Linked DNA regions of Oryzias latipes. The protein of the gene in region 1 interacts with the protein of each later gene in a pairwise test. Links are inferred from orthologs where the notes say so. Each region holds a gene or a part of one and is shown on either strand. Other genes may lie near its edges.

Region 1 (4,412 bases):
GCAATCCATCCTCCTCCCTCCAAAGAGAACCTCAACATCTTCATCTTTGCTCTTCTTGTCAGAGTCTCTCAACCAGGGGTGTCAGAATCCACACCTTTCTTTTGACCAAATGTGTTTTGTTGTTTTACTGTGTTATTTTATCCTGTTATGTTTAATTCTTTCTGCACCATGAGTGAGAGGGAGGGAGAGGAGGATGAGGTTATTTAGCAGCACTAGTACAAGAGTGCAGTCTAAGAACTGAAGTTACAGTCAGACTCATGATAATTAAAGGCATGGTATATATTGTAAATTCACACCATGTCATTCATTTTAATGTTATAGAAATGAGAAAATCTGCAGCCTCTAACTTAGACATATGAGAGTTCAAGAAGTACCATAAATTGAGATGGAAAAACATTTAATTGATTTGGAGTAATATGACATTTAGTTAGATAACTATGTAAATTTGAGTTCTAAAAACAATTAGAGTTTTATAGACGTAAGAAATTAGGTTGAATAAATTTAATTCCATCACTTGTTACCATTTGAATCAATTTTTTTAAGTTCGATAAGTTTTATTTATATACGTCACAATGTCATTTTAAATAAGATCAGAAACTTGTGCGTTTATTTCTCCGTTCTTTTTCTCCAAGCAGAAACTCTCTTTTGCTGATGCAGCCGTGTTACTTTTTGATGGGCGTATAATCTTCATACGCCGTCATTAAAATCTCAGACTCCGTCTCACTGAAGTATAGCGCTCTCTTTTGTTCTCCACGCGTTTCCATGGTGACTTGGGATATCGGCGATCCATTGAGAATGTCTTTATGTACCTGCTGTGCACGTGCGGTAACCCAGGGTTACCCAGTCGAGCGTAATTACGCCAACTCATATCCGGTCTTTTGGAACCGCCATACCCAGAGTAAGCAAGTTCAGGCGGATTTCAGCCAGAGTTCAGGCTTAAAGTCAGGGTAGTTTAAACATGCTTCCTGGAATACCCCCCTGGACTCTGACAACCATGCTCTAGTCCAGAGGTGGGCACTGAGGGCCGCAGTCCTGCATGTTTTCCAGCATACCCTGCTCTGGCATGTTCTGATTGGCTGGACACACCTGAACCAGGTAATCAGCCATGAGTAGGGCAAGAGTATCTGGAAATCATGCAGACACACCGGCCCTCGTGGCCTGGAATTGCCCACCCCTGCTCTAGTCTAAACCAACACTAAGGCTGTTCTTTCCATTGTCTTCTGCACCTTTCCTTTCATTCTTGCTGAAACTTTTTTGTCACACATCACATCTGAATCCTTCCTCAATCTGTTGCTTTGGACTGCTGACCTCTAAATACTTCAAGTCGTCCATCTTCTTCACCCCGGCTCCCTGTAATCTCACCAGAATCCTCCTCATTGTCCTTCTGAGATTGACCTTCACTCCTCTTCTTTCCAGAACAAGCCTACACCTCTCTAGATGTTCCTTCACTACAGAACACAGTGTCATCTGAAAACATCACAGTCCACAGAGATTCTTGTCTAAACCTCGTCTGTCAGTCTGTCCATCATCACATCAAACAATGAAGAGTTCAAGCTGATCCATTGTCCAGTCCCACCTCCACCTTGAAGTCTTCGGTCACACCTACAGCACACCTCACCAACCGCTCTACAGCCAATCTGGTAGAACAGTTCTGTCTGTGGTTCCGTTTTTGGATTTGGTTATGTTTTTCATATTGTATACAGTCACAACCTCCAGCATTTACAGACTTGGGATTCGCCACATGAAAGCATTGAATTGTGCCCCCTTGTGGTTAAATTCAAATTTAAGAAAGAATACAATTAGGATATTTAAGAAAAGAATAAGTGACCTTACCCAGTAATGCTTAGTGGTTTATTTTCGACTTCTTTCAATTTCTTTTTCATCTCAACTGTTCTTGATGGTCTGTGGACGTATTTTCTTTTGCCCGTACATTCATAGGTCCAGTGTCCCAACTCCAAACACTTTTGACATCGTACATGCTGTTTGTTTGCCTCCCTGTAGAAAAAAAAAAAAAGAGGTTTCAGATTCAACACTACAAAAGGAGTACGTTAAATGGGCCAAATCCATAAATACCTGGAAATACTTGATAGTTTTTCACAAGAAAATGTTTGTAATTGATCTTAGTGACGGAGGTTGAACCTCTGAATTTTTCTTTTTAAATATGAAGATGATATATATTGAGGCAGAGTAGCTTCCAAGTTCACAATTAGATTTAATTTGATTTTTTCCACTTTAAAAAAGGCCACTACAAATCCATTTGGTTCATAAAACAATTTTGGCATAAGTAAACCAAACCAAACTAAAAGAAAAATTCAATATTTTATATTACAGTGGATACTGATAAAATCTCATATTTTGAAAAGGATTTATAAAAGTCCTGAAAATTTTGTTTTTTCCTGCGTCAGATTCTTACTAAACCCAATTTTATTGAATTAATTGATTACTACCCAAGTAAGTGAACATAACACGGTCGGTGAGGCCATCAACGATTCACGAACTACTGAATTCTATCCCAACTTTTATGCAGTAAGCTCGTTCTTTATTAGATTGTACACAAACAAAATGTAGTTTTTCCGCCCCTTAATGTCTACTAAAATCCTCAGGAACGTGTGCGGTTGTATCGATAATTAGTTTGGGGCGTTAATGGCGGAAAACAAGTGTGAACAGCGAAAGAAGAAGCGCAGCATCTTAACTGTTTTTAAACAGTGAAATAATCGTTATTTACCGCTTCTATAGGATATTGCACCCAACAAAAAAGTGTAATTTATGTTTATCGATATGTTGTCTTCACATAAATTTGGTATGGAATCAGTAACGTTGTGATAACGAAAACATACTCACGCTTGTCTCCTGGCAATTATTCTGTGCATAGGAGTAGCCATGTTAAAATCTGATGCAACTTCTTCTGTGGTGTTTCTTCACAACGAGCTTCCGGAAAAGTTAATGTATTCAGCGCCCCCAGTGGTAAAAACGGATAAAGCTTTTTAAGGTCATGTTCATTTTTTCCCACTATTTTTGAAATTTTCATAACAAAAATTCTTTATAGTTTCCTTATTAATAAATGCGTTAAATTAATTTAATGCATTTATTAAGTAGAAATAATATTCAGTGGTTCTAATAATTCAACACAGTTACAACATCAATAGTACAAATAAGGAAATAAGCAAACATACAAACTACCTAGATGATGAGTTAAAGTTTGTACTTTTTCAGATTTAGTGTTAAAAATAGTAGATAAACTGAAAAATCATGTAAAAATGTATTTTCTTTTTTAGCAGCAGCAAGATTGTACATTCAACATTTTGATATGGATTTTAACTAGGCCTGCACAATATACCGCAAATTTATCGTTATCGCGACATCAAACTGTGCAATATGCATACCGCAAAAGACGGCAAAATCGCAATAAATGGTTACCTTGACCCTTGTGCTATCCTAAGCACTTTAACATTGGGAGTGGGGTCATCTAGACCCACTAAACAGTGCTCTGAACCTTTTTTCTTCTAGGATTTGTGATCTTCACTGGTGTCCATGGATTACATGAAATCTTTCCACCTTTATCCACCTTTGTCATGGTAGGAAGAACACGTCACTGTAAGGGGGGGTCATCTAAGATAGCACAAGGGTTAAATGTGCTAAAACAAACTCATGGCAGCTTGAAATATTGAATAAATGAAATAAATCCCTTTATGCATTTAACCAATCGGAAGGACTCGTTTACGTTGTTGATCAATCAAATGAGCCCTTTTATGTTTGATGTTTGCCTCCTATGTCGACAAGGGTCATTTGGAGTATAATTTTTATGCTGTTGCATTGAAATGGAAATGATGTTTTTGGTTGGTTTGATATTTGTTTATATACTGCAAATTATATCGTTATCGCAATATTAATCACCAATATCGCATATCGCGAGTTTTCCTCATATCGTGCAGCCCTAATTTTAACAAATTAATATATTTGAATTAGATGAAACAGATACGTTAAAACCTAATTGTCTGCCAATTTCAATATGATGCCAGTATTACCAAGTTAATTAATTGATACACATTCTTTGTACTATTGTAGTTGGGTTGAAGTACTGCAGTTTTGCTTGCATGTTTTGTTATGTTTTTGTACTTGTTTATGTTATTATTACAGTTGTTTTAATCTCATACTCATTATCATCATCATTTAGCTAATTTCTGACAAAAATAAATACAATGCATATTCTTATTAAAGTTGCAATTCGTTTGTTTATTTTTTTTTTATTTCAAATGTTTTTACCATGTATGTTAACAAAGAAAAAAATAAAACAAAAAAGCTTTCTCATAGGACTGTCTTACGAAAAAATTATTATTTGCTCTGAATAAAAAATTTAAAAAGCAAAATCTATGCCTATTGTAGACAAGATCATTTTCATTATTTAGGCTAAC
Region 2 (3,974 bases), on another chromosome or scaffold:
AGTCAAGCTGCACAGCTATTTGAATACAGTATTTAAGTGCTCAGGCTCAGTCTATGTAAAAACAAATGTGCACAATGTACTATAACTGAAGCGCATTAGTCGTTGCATTTCTGCAAAAGTTCAATGCATCAATGCTGCATCAGCTTGTGAAGACAGACAGGAAGAAAATCAACTTCCTCTATATACAGCGAGTGGTCTGTGAGCAGAAGTCTACAATTCAGGTTCTTGCACCAACGGAGAACCTGAACGAAACCTGAAAGAGAAAGAACCAAGCCGAAATGTACCCAGGCTAAAGCATAAACACTCGCAAACAACAAAAGCCCCGAAATGTAAGCACTCATCCAGCCGTGTTATCATCAGCCCTCAACTTGCCACCAAGTTTTTCTAAAAAGCAAAACTTGTCTGAACTCAAAAAGTTAGAAAGGAGGAAGGCTTTTCCAAACAGAACCTCGTCATATCTAAACCTCTCCAGCTGATTTGAAAAAAAAAAAAAGGTTCTCCACTTTTGAGTATCTTCCCACATTTCGTGCATGCCGTTATGTGCTTTTATGAGATAATTGCATAATTCCTTAATTCAGAGTGCAACTGTGAAGCTGCCCCTACGGGAGGAACAGGTTATTTCAAATATCAACACAGTGGTGATACAAGCTAAAAAACAAAACAAAAAAGCCCTGCTTTTAAATAAATGTTTACATTTTTTTTTTCTTTAAACCACATCTTCTTGGCAACAAAATTGGTATCATCGTAGTTGAAAAACTGTTAGAAGGAAGAGATCAACCAGCAGGATCTGTGAGCAGACTAAAATTAGATAGCAAAGAAAAACACACTTCAAGAAGCCTAAACAATTTCAGACAAAGAGTTGTGGTTTATGGAGAGCACAATGACTGACTGCCACAACAGCACACAACACCACCCATTACTTTGATCAATTCCTGTCATCACTGTTCTGTTTTTCTATAAAAAGTATAAAGCAAAATCTTTTTTTTTTAGTGTTTGCTGCACAGAAGTGAAAAGAACAGGTTGGGCATAGTTTGATTTCCTTAAGCCTAATAAAATATGTTATTACGTTTATATTTATAGATCTGGCATTTTTCTGACAATATTACAGAATAATTAAGCCCATTTATCAGCCTTCTACAATCTTGTTTCATCTTTGTAAAGCTTTTTAGTAATAATTTTAGGTGTCACATGAATTGGGCTTTGTTTGGTTGAATTGTTGCATTTTATATTGGAATTGATTGGTTTGTTGCAAAAAGCATTTCTCTGAAAATGACACACTAAATAGAAACGATTGTCAAGAAATTCGGGGAGAAAAAAGAAAAAGCTGTGTGTAAAAGCAATTAACAGGACATTATTTTTGAGTTATTGCTGCAATTTCAATTTGATTTATGTTGTGTAAACATTCTGATTTCATCAGAAACACTGGTGCCAATGCCTGGAACTACTTTTTGTATATATAAAAGACTACATTTTATTGTTTAAGCCAATAATATGAAAGAAAGTCCTGAACATGAGTGAAGGCGCAGAGGTGGCCCCCACAAAGGCAGCTGATACCTCCCAGTGAGATGTAAATAACTGCAACTACCAGCAGCATTATTCACCAAAATAAAAGCATGAAGACAATCAAATTAGAGCTGGACGGGAAGTCACCAAGTCCTCCAACCTTCTAGAAGTACCGACCAAGCACAGCGTTCAACATGAAGATATTTTCCATACAGTGAGCACCGATGGCCGTCTTTCCACACAACTACCCCACGCGCTTGCCGCGTTGCTGTTTTCCTTCTTTTTTTTGCGTAGAGCGGGACGTCAACTGAAACAGCGCGCGGCCGGCGACCCACTCAAGTTGCACAATAGGGAAGTTAAGGTGCAGAGGAATATTGAACGGTTGCGATCAGTCCGCGTGCAGTGTGACAGGCGCCAGGTAAATCCCGCACAGCACCATACAGCTGATCGACTTGGAAAAGACGGCAGTTAGTTTTACTGATCGACACATACAAAATAATAATAATGATTTAAAAAAAATCGGACGGGGTCGCGCAACCTTCATTATGTAAGAATTCGACATTATTAAAAAAAAATAGGAGTTACTCAAGGCCAAATAACTGTAAATTTCCACACGGTCCTTGAAGTGTATCTAGCTTTAGATTGCGCTTTTTTTCGGAAGAGCCGCAGCATTCAGAAAGAGAGATGGGCCATGAATGGCTTTGCAGAGGGACTAACTTTCACACTTCGCGCAACATTACACACGCCGAATTTCAATTGTGTCAAACTAATAAAGTATTACCTTTAAGAAGGAATCTAACGGGGTCAATCGGGAGTGTTTAGACGCTGGGTGAGATCGCCTATATCCGAATCAAGTTACTGAACGTCACGGCTTGAGCAATAGGAGCAGGCTGCCGAGCAATAAGGGCGCTTACACTCGACCGAAGCCGACTCATCTTTTTGAGAGACGGGAAAAAAGACGAATGCGCCACCACAGTGCAAAACACACGCAACGGTTTGTGACAAACAACACGGACTATGTGAATATTTAGTCGCAAAAATAACCCCTTACCGATAAGTAGTTTTTCCAAGTAGGTTTTTTAGATGCCGTTCCTCTTCGCCTGCTCGCTCGCAGTGATATTAAAGTCAGCGTGACTAAGAACCACAACGTTCCGGTTTGACCTTTCAAAATAAGATACTTACGTGGCTGAATCCGTCGTCAGGGCAACGAGAGGAGCTATTACTGTTTAGAGTTGAGGCCCCCTATTTCTGGTGTGCCTCGTGCAGCTTCTCGCGTGCTTCACGCTTTCGTTCACGACCTCATTCCAATATGGCACAAGTGGCCACTGCGCATGCTCCGCCGCTTATATGCCTCTGAGCCTGGCTTCATCATCACGCTGACTTCCATCTTCACACACACAATGAAACACCACATTACCAGAGTCAGGACTAACATTTTACAACACACAAAAGAAAACACAATGCGTCCCTCTTTGTGACTACATTATGTGTTATGAATTATCAGGACAAACTTGAATGTAGTGCTAAAAGGCCGAAAGAATACTTTATTATGGTTTAAAATTGGATTTATTGTACAAAAATCGAGCTACTTTCGATAAGTCCAGTTAATTTTGGCGGTGTGGCGTGTGAATACGCAGCCTCGGTTTTTAAAGTATATTTTATGGTAATGAGACCTCAGAGTTTTATTATTATTATTATTTTATTCGATGTTCTAGTTTATTAATAAAGAGCCACTTGGACGAGGCGGAGAAAGGCGGACTGACTCTACTTTTTAGCTAAATAGATGACAGGAACTCGTCAACCGATAGCAAATAATGGGTCGGGTCAGTGCACAGCGGTCCTTCACGCCACTCAGGGGTGTCAAGTCGGGTTTTTGGAGGAGAGGGCGGGAGAAATTGTTAAAAATGCAGACTGTCGGTGTGAGTGCAGTACGTTGACATATTTCACGTGCTTCTTCAGTAAAGTCGCTTTTTTTTTTAAATCGAATCTGTGAAAGCTTTTCAAAAAGCTCCCGAGCGCGCGACGTTGACGAAACAACATTTTATCAGTCATTTGGACCGTTAAAGATTAGTGAGGAGCAGTCTTCACCAACAGCCCAAGCCGTTATGCCCATTGTGACGAAAGAAAAAGAGCTCGTGCGCTAACGCGGCAGGAAAAAAAAAAAAGATTGCCCATTCTGGTTTTTACATTAACAAGGGAAATAGTCGGTGTCGAGAATAACCCTTAATCATACGGATTTATTTTAAAATAAATTCATCAAACTACAAGTATTGGAAATATTTAAGACGAGTTCATTCTTTTTAATTCGCTCCAACAATATGCGTTTTCTCTTTTAAATCAAAACGGCCATAAAACTGAAATAAATGCGAGGCTTCACAGAGGGTTGTTCCAAAAAACATTATGTAAAATGTCATCTTCTTCACATAAAACACGTTATAAACTAAACTGTAGGGTGAAGACTTGTTTAATGC
Region 3 (4,083 bases), on another chromosome or scaffold:
TTAGCAGTTCAAAACCCGTCGGCTGAAACCCTCCACGGATGACGAAAGAGACACGTATGAACGACTGAATCATACGAGGAAAATGTGCAATAATGTAGGTCGCGGCTGTGAGACGACCTTCAGGTTAGAAACCTGTAGAAGTCAGAAAACGTGAGAAAAAACTAAATCAGAGCAGATCAGTCTGTTTCAGATTAAAACCTTTTACAGTAAGGCTGAGCCGTCGCTGGTCTGCTGACCCACAATGCACCACAACACTGTTTTGCTGACCCACAATGCTGACCCACAATGCACCACAACACTGTTTTGCTGACCCACAATGCTGACCCACAATGCACCACAACACTGTTTTGCTGACCCACAATGCACCACAACACTGTTTTGCTGACCCACAATGCACCACAACACTGTTTTGCTGACCCACAATGCACCACAACACTGTTCACCTGCTTCCCAAACGGGTTTCAGGCCGTGAAACCTACAACCACCGGCCTAGACGCCATGGACACGTTTGTGGGCGGAGCATCACTAGCCGAGTCAGAAACTGGACCAATCAGATTTCTGTATGAAATCCATGCATACAAATCCATAAACATACTTTATGCTACAGACCCCACAGACAGAAAAGACGCATGGCTGCCCGTGGTCATGGCGCTCCTCATCGGCCCTCTGAGCCGCGTTACCTTGAAGCTGAGGTTGGCGCTGAAGAGCGACGGCACGGCGTTCTCCTTCAGCACGCGGTTGTTGCACTCCCTCTTGAAGCAGTCGCTGGTGAAGTGTTGGGAGCAGATGTTGCTGTACTTTGTTGGTTTGAAGTTGTTCCTCCTCATGGCCGCCACCCACTTCCCGCAAACGTCCGGACGCGCCAACGGGAACCTTGCAGTCCGGGACGACAAACACCACGTTCAGCCCATCGCCGGACACGTTTCTGTGCTTCCGTCTGGTAAACAAATGTTTTAATCTCCAGTAAAGTTCTAAACGTATCTAAAGGTGCAGAGGCTCCCGTCACCGTAAACTCTGCCACAGAGAGCCAACAAGGTCCTGGTAGTGACTTATTCTCCCCCCTCCACGACCATTAACATTAAATTAAATCACACCATCTGTGTGACCTTTTTTGCGCCACATTTGACCCCTCCCCCTGGCGGAGCGGTGAGCTGCAGACCATTTGGTGGTTTAACCCCCCAATCCAACCCCCTAATACTGAGTGTCAAGCAGGGAGGCATTGGGCCCCATTTTTATAGTCTTTGGTATGACTCTGCCTGGGTTTGAACCCACGACCTTCCAGTCTCAGGGTGGACACTGACCACAGGGCCGCTGAGCTGGTTGCATATTCATTTCTCATTCCTGTCAGTCATTTCAGTCTTAAACTGCCATCACCCAATGAGCTGTCAAAGTGTTCCCAGAGGTCTTAACGATGGTTTTTTTTACCATTTTCCTTTTCTAGAACAGTGTCTGCAGAGCGGCAGGAGCTGATCACAAATTCACCTCCGAGTTGTGGGCGGGGCTATTGATGTGGACTAAGCCCGCCCTGATTCCCATCATCCCTTTGCCCCCCACCTAACATTAGCAGAGCAACAAAAATGGCAGCATAACGGAGATATCCAGCCGTCAGCTTTGACTGCAACAGGAAAGTACGGTGGCCCTGAAGTACAAATCACATCAATAAGTCATGTGACGCAAAACCTTTTTAAGATCACAACATACAAACAAATATTAAAAAAAATATACAGAAAACGAAATGAAATGATGTAAAATGAAACAATGAGAACCCGGAAAAGGTCCATAGGACTGAGCTGATTGGACGAAGACGCTTGACCTTCATGTCAGTCAGAAGCTGACATGAAGGTCGTGGATACATCCGTCCCATGATCCTCCAACAAATCCACCTTTCTGGTTTCTCCTTGGGCTTCATTTTCCCAACATTTCTAGGAATAGTTTTAGTTTCTGATTATTTGTTTCGCTTTTTATTGGTCGTTGTGAGTTTTTAAATGCTTCACGTTAAGCTATTTGCACTTCAGGGTCACCGTAGAAAAGATGAACCCATTGAAAGCCTTTCTTTGCCTCTAGTGGGACTCGAATAAACGTGTTTGACCGGTTGAATCCAGTGTAACGGTTTGACACCGTAGGATCACTGCAGGTATCGAACGAAACCGGAGCGGACTACCGTCCTTAAGTCGTTCAGTCCAAACGTCTGTACCGGACAGACCCGGATGAGTGGTGAAGGTTAACCTTTGACCTCCTAAACCTGTTGAAGCATTGCTCAAAGGGTACTCGGTAGTCGGGATTCCAGCAGTCACTCGGTTGACCGAGAACCACCAGCAGCATGTGGACCCGCCGGTACCGGACGGACGGACTCATGACCCAAACTTTCTTTTTTATTTTCCCATCATGCACCGTGGATCGGAGCGCGAGTGAGGGAACGTCTCCGTTAGGTGCGTTTACCGGGAGGTTTTCTTCCCGGAAAACCGGCGCTCCGGCGGCGGAGCGTCCGCCTCTGTGGGAGGGGCTTACTTGTGGAAGGAAATGTCTTTGTCTTTGTGGTACCGGTTCTTGCAGCCGTACGCCGAGCACGTCTGGACCATGGCGGCGGCCCGGACAGCAGCCGAACGCGGACAGAGCGAGGGCTTCGCTGCCACTAACAACTATGGCGGCGGAAGAATCACGTGATCTGTGTTCTGAAACGTGATTGGCTCAGGCTTTCTCTGGGCATGCGCAGAGCGCTGGAGAGCTGCGCTTCCTCCAACGGGCGGGAGTGGAGGAGACGAGTTTGAACCGTCAACAGGCACAGCTGCCATTGATTGACTGATTGATTATGAGAGCATTTCAGGGATACAGAGATCTGTGTCACGTGTACAATAACATTAACGTGTCTTCGTGTCAGTGCAACATTCATACCTTTAAAAAAAAAAAACTTACTAAAATAACAAATAATGGACGAAACGACATAAAACGGGCTTGGATGTAGATATTGAGTAAAATGTCACACAATCCAGCTTTTTGTTCTTTTCCCTTCTCGTTCTTATTAGGAAAATGTAATGAGTTTTATTGAAGCTGCTGTGTTGTCGTGACTCATTCTTTATAATATAAAGTTGTGGGGAAAAAGTGCTTCAATATGTGTTGAAATGGTTGAAAGTAAAGACAATGATCCTAAATATGAAGCAGACGTCCACAGTCTCCTCAGTGACCAGCAGACGTCCAGGTTTCACGGTTTCTGGCGTCTCCAACTGGTTTATGGCGGTTGGAGGGAAATGGTTTTGGGTCTTTCCGTCTCTCTTCACCAGCGGCGTTTGCCTGAAGGCAGCAGGTCAGACGGCGGCGGTCCGGGGCGTGTAGCGTCTCTGATGAGGCTCTCTGCTCTGCTGAGGCAGCGGGAGCTGTGGGGGGGTTTCCAGGGCGGGGAGGGGGCACCCAGCATGTTTTGGGCGGTGTTGGCGAGCCGCCGGAGAGCCTTCCTTCTAGCCGCTTTACGGCGGCCGAACCAGGAGCATCTGCAGTGTTGGTCCACGTTCCGCGGTGGTGAGGTCAAAGGTCACCAGCTGTCTTTGGGTCATGTTTGTCTGAGGGAACGGTCTCTGTTGGGCTTTTCAGCTGCTCACTGGGGTTCATACTCACATTTTCTCTTTGAGTTAAAAAAAGGGAAAGTATAGATCAAGTTGTTTCAGAGACTCACAGAATATTCCTTTTTTTAACTCCTAAAACCTTTTTTAGACATTAATGACCAAAGATTTCTGTCTTGTTTGGTTGATTTGGTCAAAATGATCTGTAGGTGTCCTGGATGAAAGGGGTGGGGGTTGTTGTTCATCCTGTATTTTACTCTAACCCAGCCGTCGGCAGCCCGGGCCGGGCGCCACCGCGGCACGTGGAGGGTTCTTCTCACAATGAGCTTTCTTTCCCTATGAGGTCATAAGGCAAGGGTCCAATCATGCAGTGCCGTTACTGTGACTCCGCCCACCTCTATAAATACTAAGGTTGCGTCCAAATTCCCGCCCTAACCCCTATGTGCAGCACTATTATGTAGAGCCCTGGATTTTAAAAGGAATTTGGACGCCACGTTCACTACTTTTGTTTTTTAACGGCGGATTTGAC

What was found. The genes of interacting proteins can lie anywhere in the genome.
Region 2: the proteins of zcchc10 (region 1) and sfmbt1 interact in binary tests that used the Homo sapiens proteins (3 or more experiments, as listed by UniProt). The two-hybrid records come from large-scale screens. The link is inferred for Oryzias latipes from reciprocal best matches to the Homo sapiens genes ZCCHC10 and SFMBT1.
Region 3: the proteins of zcchc10 (region 1) and thap1 interact in binary tests that used the Homo sapiens proteins (3 or more experiments, as listed by UniProt). The two-hybrid records come from large-scale screens. The link is inferred for Oryzias latipes from reciprocal best matches to the Homo sapiens genes ZCCHC10 and THAP1.

What each region holds. Positions count from the first base shown.
Region 1 is NC_019872.2:6,666,177-6,670,588, forward strand, and holds the start of zcchc10 (zinc finger CCHC domain-containing protein 10), read right to left. Parts: upstream 2,961-4,412; 5' UTR 2,883-2,960; coding exon 2,842-2,882; intron 1,996-2,841; coding exon 1,834-1,995; intron 1-1,833.
Region 2 is NC_019863.2:15,515,757-15,519,730, forward strand, and holds the start of sfmbt1 (scm-like with four MBT domains protein 1), read right to left. Parts: upstream 2,801-3,974; 5' UTR 2,686-2,800; intron 2,668-2,685; exon of another isoform or gene 2,555-2,667; intron 1-2,554. UniProt on the Homo sapiens protein: Histone-binding protein, which is part of various corepressor complexes. Mediates the recruitment of corepressor complexes to target genes, followed by chromatin compaction and repression of transcription.
Region 3 is NC_019870.2:29,950,368-29,954,450, reverse strand, and holds the start of thap1 (THAP domain-containing protein 1), read right to left. Parts: upstream 2,801-4,083; 5' UTR 2,580-2,800; coding exon 2,509-2,579; exon of another isoform or gene 2,440-2,508; intron 874-2,439; coding exon 681-873; intron 1-680. UniProt on the Homo sapiens protein: DNA-binding transcription regulator that regulates endothelial cell proliferation and G1/S cell-cycle progression.